Drosophila melanogaster: one gene and its partners. The protein of the gene in region 1 interacts with the protein of each later gene in a pairwise test. Each region holds a gene or a part of one and is shown on either strand. Other genes may lie near its edges.

Region 1 (3,825 bases):
AGAGCCAGCAAGGAGGCGAAAATCCAACGAAGGACACTCACATGGTTGAAGTTTGCATGCCTGGCGAGGCTTGCAAAGTTATTAACACGCGGCTCCGACTTAAATAAGTCATATTCCAGCCGCCTTTCGGGCTCAGCTCACTGCCTCCTTGACTGACTTCTTGTCTGGCTTGCAAAGGAGGTGAGGAGGACATTAATGGGGTTTTCCTATTAATTGCACGACTGGCCTGAAAGTGAAAGCACTGAGCAAGAAAAGTTGGCCAAAGACCGATCCAACGTCTGTGGCAAAAGTGGTTCGTTTAAGTTTAGGGCAATAATGGTAGAAATTTTCACAAATCATGTGGGAACACAATGACACGAAAAATGTATTAATTTTAAGTTAAGAATTTACTCAGCTTGGAATTGAAATCGATTTGATAATTGACAGGTATGTGATAGTCAAGCCGTTTATTTCACTACTTCCCTAGCACACCATGTAATCAATGAGATTGTACAATCTTTCCATTAACGTTCCAAAAATTTCTTACAAAATTATGCGTTTCGAGTAAATGTACCTTAGGGTACCGATTTCGATTTCTATCAATAAAAGTTTTGTGAAATACATCTACCGCTAATGGAAATTCATGTTTCGAGGACGGCCATCTGCGTTGGCTGTCGATGAAGGCAAATCCTGTTGCAAATGTCGCTACATTCGTGCGACTTGTTTGTAAATTATAAAATAATGCCGGTTGCATTTCCAACGACGTCTGCTGCTTCTGATTTTCCACTTTTCCGCTTTTGTTTTTCGGATGTGGTCATAGGCTGAGGGGGCGTGGTGGGAGGGCCTGCACGGCAATTTTTATGCCAAAGTGGCACATATTTGGCTTAGCTTTTAAACATCGCGACTAGAAATCATACCTGAGCACCAGTGGCAGTGGCAGCATATACTTTTTTGGGGGCAGCTAGTTTTTCGGCTGATATATAAAAAAGGTTAGTGGAGTTGAAACCCAACTGAAATAGGGCCCCCTTAATCCCCCCCAAGATCAGCCTCTGGCTTTGAGCAGCCGATGTGATGTAGCAGTGAGGCAGTGTGGCATGTCTGCCACGGCAGCGTACTCGACTGTCGGCGCTGTCAAATAACTGACATTACCTTGCCGCCACAGCTGCACCACCGCACCACCTCCACCCGGCTTGTAGAGCCGGTGAGCCACTGCACCACCGCAGACGACGCCGTGTTGTCGTCATCGCTCCAGAGCCGCGCACTTTCGTGACTATGAACAATAAAAATTTCGATTAGAATGTAAGAGCAACAACCGTTCGCGGCAACTTCAGCTGCTGCAATCAAGTTGTGCGCGGCCCGATCGGCAATCCGTGGACCCGGGCTTGAGTGGGGGAGCTGTGTGCCACAGACGTAGAATTATAATAGGAAAAAAGAGCTAAATTGCATATTAATAGAAATTGAAACCTAAATGTTATGCAGCGCAAAGCGTGCGGTAGACAACCATTTCATTACATTGTCCTGAGCTGAGAAGGGTGGCAGCCGTCGAAAGGGTGGTGCAAGGATATGTAGGACATACCCATGCAATCAAGGGTATGTCGTATTCATTCACATTTAAACGAAAAGGGGAAAATGAACCTAAGACTATTCATCTCATTTGAGTTTTATGTCAAGAAACGAAAAAGTTTATTGTTCGCTATTCCAACACACAAACTTAAACACTTTTCATAGACTTCAAAGTTTATCGGTTCTGAAGCCAGCAAGGTGTTCCATAAATCGTCCCTGACGACGTATTGAATTTGAATATTGGCTACACAAGAAGGTAGGTTCATCTGCCCCATAAAGATTACTATCTGTACTCAGAAGAGGAATCCTAGGAAAGAAGAGCACTGCAAAATGGCATTTCTGGGCAAAGTCAACAGTCAGGGAACCCTTATCGACCATGAACTATTCTGCATGACCCAGCCCAGCCAGCAGGATTCAGATGGCCAAGCCAGAGAGATGGGGGCTCGTGTACTGCTACCGCGAAGAAAGGGTTCCAGGACTTTCATCAAGACCTGTGACAAGGACAGCCTCGTGCGCTCTATGGGTAGCCCCAGCACAGTGCGCTACGTGGGCAGCTCCGAGTCGTCCAGTGAAGTCAACTCATTGGACGAGACGGAGACCTCCACTCTGCGCTGCTGCTCGGATTTGTCCCTGGGCACCCTGAAGTCGACCAAGACAATTGAGGGGCCCCGCGTCGGTGAACTGGGAGAGGATATCGAGCTGCAGACGGAGTCGGAGACGGTCTGCCTGCATCTGGGCAGTCCCAGCAGTAGCACCAGCACGGACCGGAGTAGCTGCAGCAGCCGATCCTGCCCCTCTTCCCGCAGCGGCAACAATTCCAGCGACAAGGACTCGACGACCTCGATGTGCAGCTGGGAGGAGGCCATGTCCCGGGACGACAGCATGCTGGCCCCGCTCGAGTTGCCACTAAGCCACAGCCTGCCCTCGCTGCGCCTGGGATCGAGCGTAGGATCGCCGCCCCTTACCTACACCCGCCGCATCGAACCGCTCCATATCCGGCGGTCCGCCGGTGAGGCCTACGAGAACTGGCTGTCCGGCAAGCAACGCCAGTGCCAGTACAAGTTGCAGGCGCAGCAGGCCGAGAGAGAGGCGCAGCGGCAGCGAACGGAGCTGAGGCAGCGGCTCGCCAAGGAGAAGTACGAGCAGTGGTGTCAGCAGAAGGCGCAGCAGACCACCAGTACCGCCAAGCTCACCAAGCCCGACCGTTCTGCCCAGCTGCCGCCGCAAAAGAATATGGCGTCTGTGCAACATCACCTGCAGGAGTGGGAGCTGCACAAGCTTAGGCTGCTCGAACAGCGTCGCCTCGAGCAGCGGAATGCCGAGCGGCGGCGCCAGGAGGAGAAGGCCGCCCGCCGCTCGCAGGCGGAAGAGGCCTTCAGTCGGTGGATGAGCAACGTGGCCCAGAGGCCCAAGCCCGTCCCCTCCAGCCAGGGAATGAAGTCGCTGCGCGGCACCGTTTCCGACATCTTTATAAACCCCAAGCAGTGGGTGAATTAAGCTGGTCGGATTTGAAATGGTCGGAGGTGGGGAGAAGTGTATGGCCTGGACAGGCTGCCTAAAAGGTGAGAGTTAGCTCGCCCTGTGAAACCAAAGTTTTAACAAGTGTAACCATATTTATTTATTTAGCACTATTAAATACCCGAAAAGAATGTTTCTTGGTTTAGTTTTCTAAAGTCATAGTAAGCCTTAGATAATTGTAATTTTGATAAATTTCCATAAGTGAATATGTAGAACAGTTTGCACCTTAAAGATGATCAGTTTACTAGCTCTTAGCAGTTAGTGGCCACTTGCTCATTAGTGGGTCAAAAGCATTCAGTTTACCGCTACACAATCATACAAGGAGAGTCGGTGGTCCGTTAATGAGCTGCATTAAGCTGACCCCACAAAGGAGATGTTGCATGCCCCCGACGGTACACATGCTCATCATCATTAGCAAATGCTATAAATCATATATATCCAATTTGACCGTCTAGGCGATATATGTCTATATTCAGTCTCAAAGTGTTCAAATGCATTTACAATGCAACAATTTATGTGAAATTTCCATAGTAAAGGCAAGAGGTAGAGAGATATAGTTACATCGACTATAAGATATCCATTACTTGCATCGCTTTGCTCAAGATTGCAAAGATGATTGAATATGTCTGTATATTTAATGAAATAACATTTTATACACTACTGCTATATATTTCTCAAATTTTCACTCACAACAATGTGAGCACATGATACACTTTTTGTCTCAATAGCAAACGAGTATATTTTTGTGGTGTTTTGCTCGTATTT
Region 2 (3,466 bases), on another chromosome or scaffold:
GTGCATCCTTCTGGGCAATCAGATCGAGCACCATCTGCTTGGCGTGCTCTATCTTCTGCGCCTCGCCGGATATGCGAAGGGGTTTGATCAGCTCCTGGTTTGGTCCGTCCTGGATGATGATCATTTTGGCTCCGGTCTTCTCCTGCAGCTGTTTAATGGTATCGCCGCCCTTGCCAATGACCAAGCCCACCTTGGCGCCCGGAATCATGATCTCCTGGTAAGGTGGATACCCGCTAGGTCCCGGTGGCGGCATATTGATCGTCAACAGCACCTCCACCTGTCCCCCGCCAGCCCGATTGGCCATGTTCTGAATCATTTCGCGCCCCTTAGTGACTGTATCCCTTTGACCACGCAACATGATAACGCGATCTTGATCCTGCATGACCTGCACTTTTACACCGGACTCGGCCTGGATGTGGGTGATGGTGTCGTTACTGGAGCGACCCATAAAGGCGCCGGCTACCGATTCGGGCAGACGGATCTGCTCCTCACAGCTTGTTCCCGCCGAGGCGGCCAAACGAGCGGCTACCGCAGCAGCCTGGGCGATTGCCTGAGTAATACTGGCACCGCCGGGACCTCCGCCGCCGCCACCACCACCCCCGCTACCGCTGCTCATGTTGGAGCTGTTGTTGGCGTACTCCGGACTGCCCAAGGAGCGTTTGGATTCCGGACCGCTGTCGCCGTCGTCGTTGATACGCTTAAAGCCAGGCCCTCCACCCGAAGACGGTGGCGATGGACCCGCTGTGCCGCCGCCCTGCTGGCTGGGCTGGATCTTGGCTGCGATCTGGTTTGGGGATTGGGGCAAAAGAAGCCGAATCAATGCCCACTTCCGCTTCTTCCTCTTCCAAGTGGTGGGAACTCACCTGCTTGGCACGCTGAATTGCCTGCGCGAGTGCCTGCGATTGATTGATGCCTTGTTGCTGGAAGTCGCTCATAGTTCTGGGTTTATAATAGGTTCAATTCGGTTCTTTATGGTTACCACTTGTTTTTTTTTTGTTCTGTTTGACCGCACGCGTTGAAAATTCAATAGCCGAAAGCGACGATTTTTTCACAAATGCTGAGGAAATACTATAAACGCTTCCTATGGCATTTGTTTAAGTGGCTTTCGAATGTCTACTCTGCCTTATTGTTGAGCCGTTTTTTTCATGCGCTTCTACGTTTTTTTTTTTAATTTTTCTTTCGGCTTTTCAGTGAAAATTATGCGTTTGCAAAAAAATTGTGTAGCATTATAGCTTGATTGGAGGCGTTTTTTCACCCTCATGATTTTCACTGCAACGGTAACACTGCGCATAAGATATTCACGGTTTTAGTCCGCGCTTTTGGTATATTTGTGTTAAATTAAATATTCAATGACTTATATGAATTTATTTGAAAGTAAAGGATCTACTTAAACTTAATTTCTATTAAGCCCAAGCTCCCAATTTGTGTGAATTTGCCCAAGGAAATGCATATTGTTTTCACAAGTTACAAAGTAGAAGCATACAATTTCTATACAATTTTTTTCCTTTTCAGAATATTAAATGTAATTGTTTGGCCTTAAATTTACGTAGCCAATAGCTAGCTTAAGTATAAGGTATTAATTATAATCCTTATGTTTTATTAAAAAAAATACAAGTAAGCGTTAAAAATCTATTTGAATGTATGGTATATTTGAACGATATTTACTCAAACTCCGGGTCACCCTGTGTTGCAACTACTTGAAATACTAGGAAAAAGTCAGTATTTTCATTATATGTTTAAAGACCGTTTCCCGCGAAGGTCACTCTGTTCTTCTTTCGTCGGCAACGTTGCGCAGAGCACGGCTCCAGATTTGTTAAACGCGAATTTACCCCACAAAAACGCATTTAAAATGGCATTCGGTGATGTGACCACCCCGCAGGGACTGAAGGAGTTGAACGCCTTCCTGGCCGACAACAGCTACATCAGCGGGTAAGCACGCGTCATTAAATGTGAGGTTATGTACGACCTCACCACGTCGGCAGATGTATTGATCGAATAATTTTCTACCCATTACTATACTCCCATTAGATATACTCCCAGCAAGGCCGATCTGTCCGTGTTCGATGCTCTGGGCAAGGCCCCCTCTGCCGACAATGTGAACGTGGCCCGCTGGTACCGCCACATCGCCTCCTTTGAGGCCGCTGAGCGTGCCGCTTGGTCGGGTACTCCTCTGCCCCAGTTGGCCGGTGGAAAGCCCACAGTGGCTGCTGCTGCCAAGCCCGCCGCCGACGATGACGACGATGTGGATCTATTCGGATCCGACGACGAGGAGGACGAGGAGGCCGAGCGCATCAAGCAGGAGCGAGTTGCCGCTTACGCCGCCAAGAAGTCTAAGAAACCCGCCCTCATTGCCAAGTCGTCGGTGCTCCTCGATGTCAAGCCCTGGGATGACGAGACCGACATGAAGGAGATGGAGAACAATGTCCGCACCATCGAAATGGACGGTCTGCTGTGGGGCGCCTCCAAACTGGTCCCAGTCGGCTATGGCATCAACAAGTTGCAGATCATGTGCGTCATCGAGGACGACAAGGTGTCCATCGATTTGCTGCAGGAGAAGATCGAGGAGTTCGAGGACTTTGTTCAGTCTGTCGACATTGCTGCCTTCAACAAGATCTAAACATCTGAGATTCTTATATTAACAATAAACTTGAGCAAAGCGAACTAAGCAAATATAGTTGTCTTCATATTTAAATAAAATATTTCACATGAAAGCTGCAATAAGCCAATCATAATTCAGATTGTAAAAACACATCAGTTTTATTGGAATAATGATTGAAATTTTGTAATTTTCACCAAAAAGTATACTTTTATAATCGGTAAAAATCTCTAATCTCTTTAGTTGGCTTGCTGGCTCTCTCAAGTTCTCAGCTTAAGTCTTCCGTTTTGAAGCTTTCGGCGAGCTTTTGTCAACAAAAAAGCGAAGCTCGTAGCACTTTCAGCTCAGTTGATCGGGCAGCTCGATAGAGGTCGGTTGTTTACAGATAGTTGTGATACTGTTCAGTGACTTTTCAAATTGCATTTGCAAACAAATATTTTTCGGACACAAGTACTGCTTATAATGGCTGCCAACAAATTGTGCTGCACTTTGGCTATTGGCGCTCTTTTGTGTCTGGGATTCGCAGCCCTCATTCAAGCTCAGGGTGAGTTAAATACATCGAAAACTATATATTTACATTATATAGGCGAGAACATTTCCGTTCTTGTTATTGTTCGCGAGACGTATTTGTTACGCATTTGCTGAGATTTGCTTTTAACACGAAATATACAAATACCTGATCGTCTGCATTCATTAACATTAATTAGCAATTGTATAGATATTTGAGTCTTTTGTTCTGCGCCAAGACATGTTTCGTTCTTGAGCGGATTTCCCAGATATATTTATCCATCCATCGTGTTTGTCGCCATTTGCATACGACAAGTATCTGGAGGTTGACAAACGTCCATTTAAACTCGGGGATTTCTGATC
Region 3 (4,922 bases), on another chromosome or scaffold:
ACCTGGGCATCTTCTCGCACGCCAGTGATGTGTGGTCCTTTGGCGTGACCATCTGGGAGATGTTTTCCCTCGGCGCACCGCCATATGGGGAAATATCTAATGTCGATGCCATCAAGTTGGTGGACAGTGGCGAACGCCTGCCGCAGCCCAATCTCTGTCCAGCTTACATCTATGCCGTGATGCAGAGCTGCTGGAAGGAACGACCCAAAGATCGGCCAACCTTTGTCTATCTCACCGAGTTTTTCGCCCGCGATCCTGATTACCAAAACCTGCCGGAATTGGTGCAAACGGTTCACATTTAAGCCAGTTTCCATTTTCCATTTTTTCCGTTCTGAGTGCAATTTTCTGTAGCTATTTATGCAATGTCTTCTATTTCGTTTTCAACGTATTAACGATCTGGAACCCACAGATCACTATTGTTGTTCCGTATCCTAGTATTCATGTTTATAGCTTGTAATATATTTTTTAATCATATGTACAACCAATTTGTGTCAAAAGAAAGCGAACAAGTGCCTTAAAGATTTAGCATATAAGCTTTGTATTCATTTTTACAAATCCATTTTGTTTCATTGGTTATACAAAATAAAAACTATTTTTATACATACTGCGCTTTTTGATTTAGTATTAAATAATACAGCAGTATGCTTTAATAATCAATGTTTAAACATTTAATGCAGTTCTTTTATATAAAACGTGGTAACAAAAGTAAATAGTTTGTTGGTAAACCGCTTAAATACTAGGTTAGTAATATGGTTTCTTGGAAAGATTATAACTACGTTAGCGTGGTTAGTGCTCTAGAAATGGATTATATATTTTTTTGTTAATTTTTTCGAGCTAGCACAACAGTAATCAAGCTGATCCGTTTATTGCCTGCTTCACATTCGATGCGCTGACGAGCTTAAGGGCGCCAAGTATTCCGTTCAGGTTCTCCTCGTTGTAGGGCTTGCCCTGGAGCGGAGTCACCACCGGGACGAGCTGATCGCTCTGCGGCAGCTGGATGCCGATCTCCTTCATTAATCCCTACAAATTTAGTAAAATCATAAGTGATAATTCTCTAAAACAGGGCAAAACAAATCTTACCGCTTCCACTTCCACGCTTAGTTTCAGTTTCATGTCCTGCTCATCGCCCTTCACCTCCAGTTCCTTCTGCACGGTGAACTTGGGAGTCTTGCCGATGACCCAGTCCCAAGAGCTGTAGTTGGAGCGCAATTCCTCAATGCCGGGGAACCATTTCTCTGTGGGATTGACCAGCTGAAAGCCGCGCTGCTGCATCGTCTGTGTGCTGCCGCCGTCTTCAAGCGTAGTTGCAGCCGTTCTCAAATACTCGTAACCCACGGCGGAACGCAGCTGAGCAACGTTCACCGTGCGATTGACATCAACCAGGTTGCGAATGGGCGACGGCACCGAAGCCGTGGCCTTGCTAATATAATTGGCCGGCTCCCGCACCAGAGATTCGCCCAAGTGCAATTTGTTGGCGCTGGCCAAAATGGTGCAGTGATGGTACGAGTTCGGGTGTCCCAGCTTGGCCGCAGTGCCGGAAATCTGTAATTGAACAAGGGCATACTCGTTGAGTGGGCAAATAAAGACCAGATGCACAGCCCCAGCTGTTGGTTAAGTGAGCTGATGCCAATGTGAGGGATCAGCCGGGGTCGCATCATTCCTTGATAAGAGCCACCGCTCCTCCTCACCTTCTTATTCATCACTACAATGTCGTCGCGCTCATTTATCTCTGCCTTGATGGCCCATTCGCGGAACAAGGCCCTGGTCACGATGTTCAGGTTGTACTTGCGATCGTAGCGCTCTCTGGGCGAGAAAAAGGTGCAGTTGAGGTTCCCAAGATCATGGTACACCGCTCCACCGCCACTATTGCGGCGTGCAAGTGTTATGCCGCGTTCCACCAGCTGCGAAACATTAGCCTCGGTGAAGGGATTCTGGTGGCGACCAATGACTACGCACGGGTCGTTGGCCCACAGCAGCAGCACATGGTGGCGGCTGAAATCAAAGTTTTTGTACAGCCAATCCTCTAGAGCGAGGTTGGTGAACACATCGCTGGACTGCGAGATGAACACGGACTTCTTGATCTCCGAATCGGGAACCACGGGCGGTGGCTGGCGCCTCTGCTTTTTAATCTCCTGCTGTCCAGCAGATGGTGGCTCCACTCCGCTGGATGCCAGGCGCGTGGCCTGAGCGGCGGAGGAGAGAAGTAGCCGCAGCTGGCTGGAATTGCGTCGCAACAGCATGCTCATGGCTTACACAAGGAAGTGGGGCGTACGGGTGTGTGTGATTTCTGTTGCCAGGTGATCTGGGACACAATGCACTTGCAAGCGAAACAAGGTCAATGGTGTCGAAAAAAGCTTTTGGCTGGTTGATTGGTTGGTTGGTTGGTTGGTTTCTACGGTTGTCGTCTGCCTGGTTCTGTGTGGTCCGTGTGTGCTCTTCTTTAGGTTATGTATGGTCTACTATCTACGCTATTCGTTTTGGTCTTTAAATGGCTTTGGTCGCTCTGGACTTTAGACTGTGGCGTTCTTAGTGGCTCGGGATGTGTTTGCAGCCACGGAGCTGGCCGAGATGAGGTATTCGTGCAGGGCGGGCGTCTGATGCAGCCACTTCCACGTTTGATGCAGACCACAGACACGCTTACGGAGACCCAGGCAGTCCTTGTTGGCACAGTTCACTGGCATACTACGCCTCACACCCATCCAGGTGGGGGATACAACGAATCCGGTGTTTACGGGGGGCCGCAACGTTACGGGGCCCAAATAAGATGGCTAAAGGGTTTCCTTTTTAGCTGACACCAAAATTTTCCACTCTTTGTTCGCGGCGCACGGGAACTGCGGGGGGCGGGGGCAAGGCGGATGATCGCAGTGGGCGGGGGTAGCAGTTATAGCACAAACAAACGAACGAACACAGAGCCGATCGAAAAGCAGCTGCGCGTGTGGAAATATCACGACCGATTGGCTTTCGTTTCAGATGAGCAGTGGTGCTCGCTGCTCTTGTTCTTCCTCGACGGTCCCCAAATGCCATTCGCAGCGAACGACGAAAGCTCCGGTCATTAAAAAAAAAAAAAAACAACGGCACTCTGGCGCCGCACTTAATTTATTTTCATCTTTTTAATTCGAACTTGTATAATTTACGCTAAACATGTGTGATAATCCGAGACGTCTACAACAGATGTGACATTAATATGTGTTATATTTTATAAGCAGCATACTTTGAGAGCCCCTTCAGTTTGGAATACCCCCATTATTAATGTAAGCCGCCTCTTCGGGATCAATTGGCTTGCGGGCAAATCGTGCCGGCAGCTCGTAGTCCTCAATTGCTGGTCCACCGGCCAACTAAATGTAGAAGGGACAATTACGAAGATTAGTTATGATGCACAGAAGAAGCCGTGGTATTGTGTATAAATGAAATGGGCTGGGTTAACCTTTTTGCCTCCTGCGGCCTGGGAACTTGCCTTCTGGTTTGCTGTCTGGGCGCCCGGCACTCCTGCACCACCCTTGCGGAAGTGTATGAGCGGTACGCGCTTAGCCAGCGCAACTAGTGTTGGTCGAACCATAGCAACAGCAATTGAATTTCTACCAAAAAGCCAAGGCAAAAGTAAAAGTTACGTGAATAACAGCTGACTGTAAACTCATACAAGCGCTGCCAGATCGTTAAAATTGCATGCCATTCGCCGCGCAATGGATTATTATCGTTATTGAAATTTACGTGATCCTGTGAATGGCTAAGGCAGATAAGAGGAAGCGCAAAAAACTATTTTGGTCCAAATCGGTAATATTTTTATATTTAAAATGAATTGGGGACAGAAGATAACCGGCAGCCGACGGCCCTAACTTCTGGACGGACATCGCCAGTATATGGATTGCTCCTAAAACTAGCAAACCAACGTACTTATGCTCTATGCAACAATAAATGTCATATGAAAACAAACTATTGAAGACGTTTTTATGAGTATAACCGGTAACTATTTCATTTGTTTATTATATTAATGACAAATAAACTTATACGTAAACATTCCTTTGATAGATTTTCATGTGTATATCCTTCTCTGTGCAGAAAAACGAAATTAAAGTAACATCTCGGATACTTTCGCAGCAATTGTATAAGCCATACAAATATGAACGCTGCTGGAGGAGGTAGTGGTGCCCAGGCGGCCGCAGTGGCGGCAGGCAACAACAGTCTCAGCCACAATGCGCTACTTTCCACGGCCTCAGGAGCCACCACCATGCCTATGGCCCAACTGGCAGACGGTTGGTTGGAGCTGGAGTCCGACCCAGGTCTCTTCACACTGCTTCTCAAGGATTTTGGATGTAATCTATTTGAATATGCCTTGTTCCACACATCCTATTAAAATATGTACTATCCTTAGGTCACGATGTACAGGTGGAGGAGGTGTACGACCTACAGAAACCCATCGAGAGTCCATATGGCTTCATATTTCTCTTCCGCTGGATCGAAGAGCGACGCGCCAGACGCAAAATTGTGGAGACAACTGCTGAGATATTCGTCAAGGATGAGGAGGCCATTTCCAGCATTTTCTTCGCCCAGCAGGTAGTCCCCAATAGCTGTGCCACACACGCGTTGCTTTCGGTGCTCCTGAACTGCAACGAGAACAATCTTCAGCTGGGCGACACCCTGAGTCGACTAAAAACCCACACCAAAGGCATGAGTCCGGAGAACAAGGGGCTGGCTATTGGCAACACTCCGGAGCTGGCCTGTGCCCATAACTCACACGCAATGCCGCAGGCTCGGCGCCGTCTAGAAAGGACGGGAGCGGGCGTCTCAAGTTGCCGCTTCACGGGTGAGGCGTTTCACTTCGTTAGCTTTGTGCCTATCAATGGACAACTGTTTGAGCTGGATGGCTTGAAACCGTATCCCATGAATCACGGCGGTTGGGAGGATAGCGAGGATTGGACAGATAA

Evidence for each region.
Region 2: the proteins of CG14011 (region 1) and eEF1beta interact in a two-hybrid assay, tested with the Drosophila melanogaster proteins (one large-scale study listed by BioGRID).
Region 3: the proteins of CG14011 (region 1) and Lipt1 interact in a two-hybrid assay, tested with the Drosophila melanogaster proteins (one large-scale study listed by BioGRID).

The regions. Positions count from the first base shown.
Region 1 is NT_033779.5:5,578,939-5,582,763, reverse strand, and holds CG14011 (uncharacterized protein), read left to right. Parts: upstream 1-1,647; 5' UTR 1,648-1,798; intron 1,799-1,853; exon of another isoform or gene 1,854-1,861; 5' UTR 1,862-1,872; coding exon 1,873-3,039; 3' UTR 3,040-3,184; downstream 3,185-3,825.
Region 2 is NT_033778.4:16,866,463-16,869,928, forward strand, and holds eEF1beta (eukaryotic translation elongation factor 1 beta), read left to right. Parts: upstream 1-1,759; 5' UTR 1,760-1,849; coding exon 1,850-1,929; intron 1,930-2,028; coding exon 2,029-2,617; 3' UTR 2,618-2,818; downstream 2,819-3,466. Other genes in the region: Psi (P-element somatic inhibitor), read right to left, coding at 1-784, 864-935; CG6426 (uncharacterized protein), read left to right, coding at 3,059-3,140. UniProt on the Drosophila melanogaster protein: EF-1-beta and EF-1-delta stimulate the exchange of GDP bound to EF-1-alpha to GTP.
Region 3 is NT_033778.4:16,195,105-16,200,026, reverse strand, and holds Lipt1 (lipoyltransferase 1), read right to left. Parts: upstream 2,986-4,922; 5' UTR 2,700-2,985; coding exon of another isoform or gene 2,511-2,699; 5' UTR 2,247-2,510; coding exon 1,689-2,246; intron 1,543-1,688; coding exon 1,081-1,542; intron 1,021-1,080; coding exon 850-1,020; 3' UTR 649-849; downstream 1-648. Other genes in the region: Shark (SH2 ankyrin repeat kinase), read left to right, coding at 1-302; CG42837 (uncharacterized protein), read right to left, coding at 2,511-2,699; CG44242 (uncharacterized protein), read right to left, coding at 3,225-3,335, 3,425-3,556; caly (calypso), read left to right, coding at 4,118-4,310, 4,370-4,922.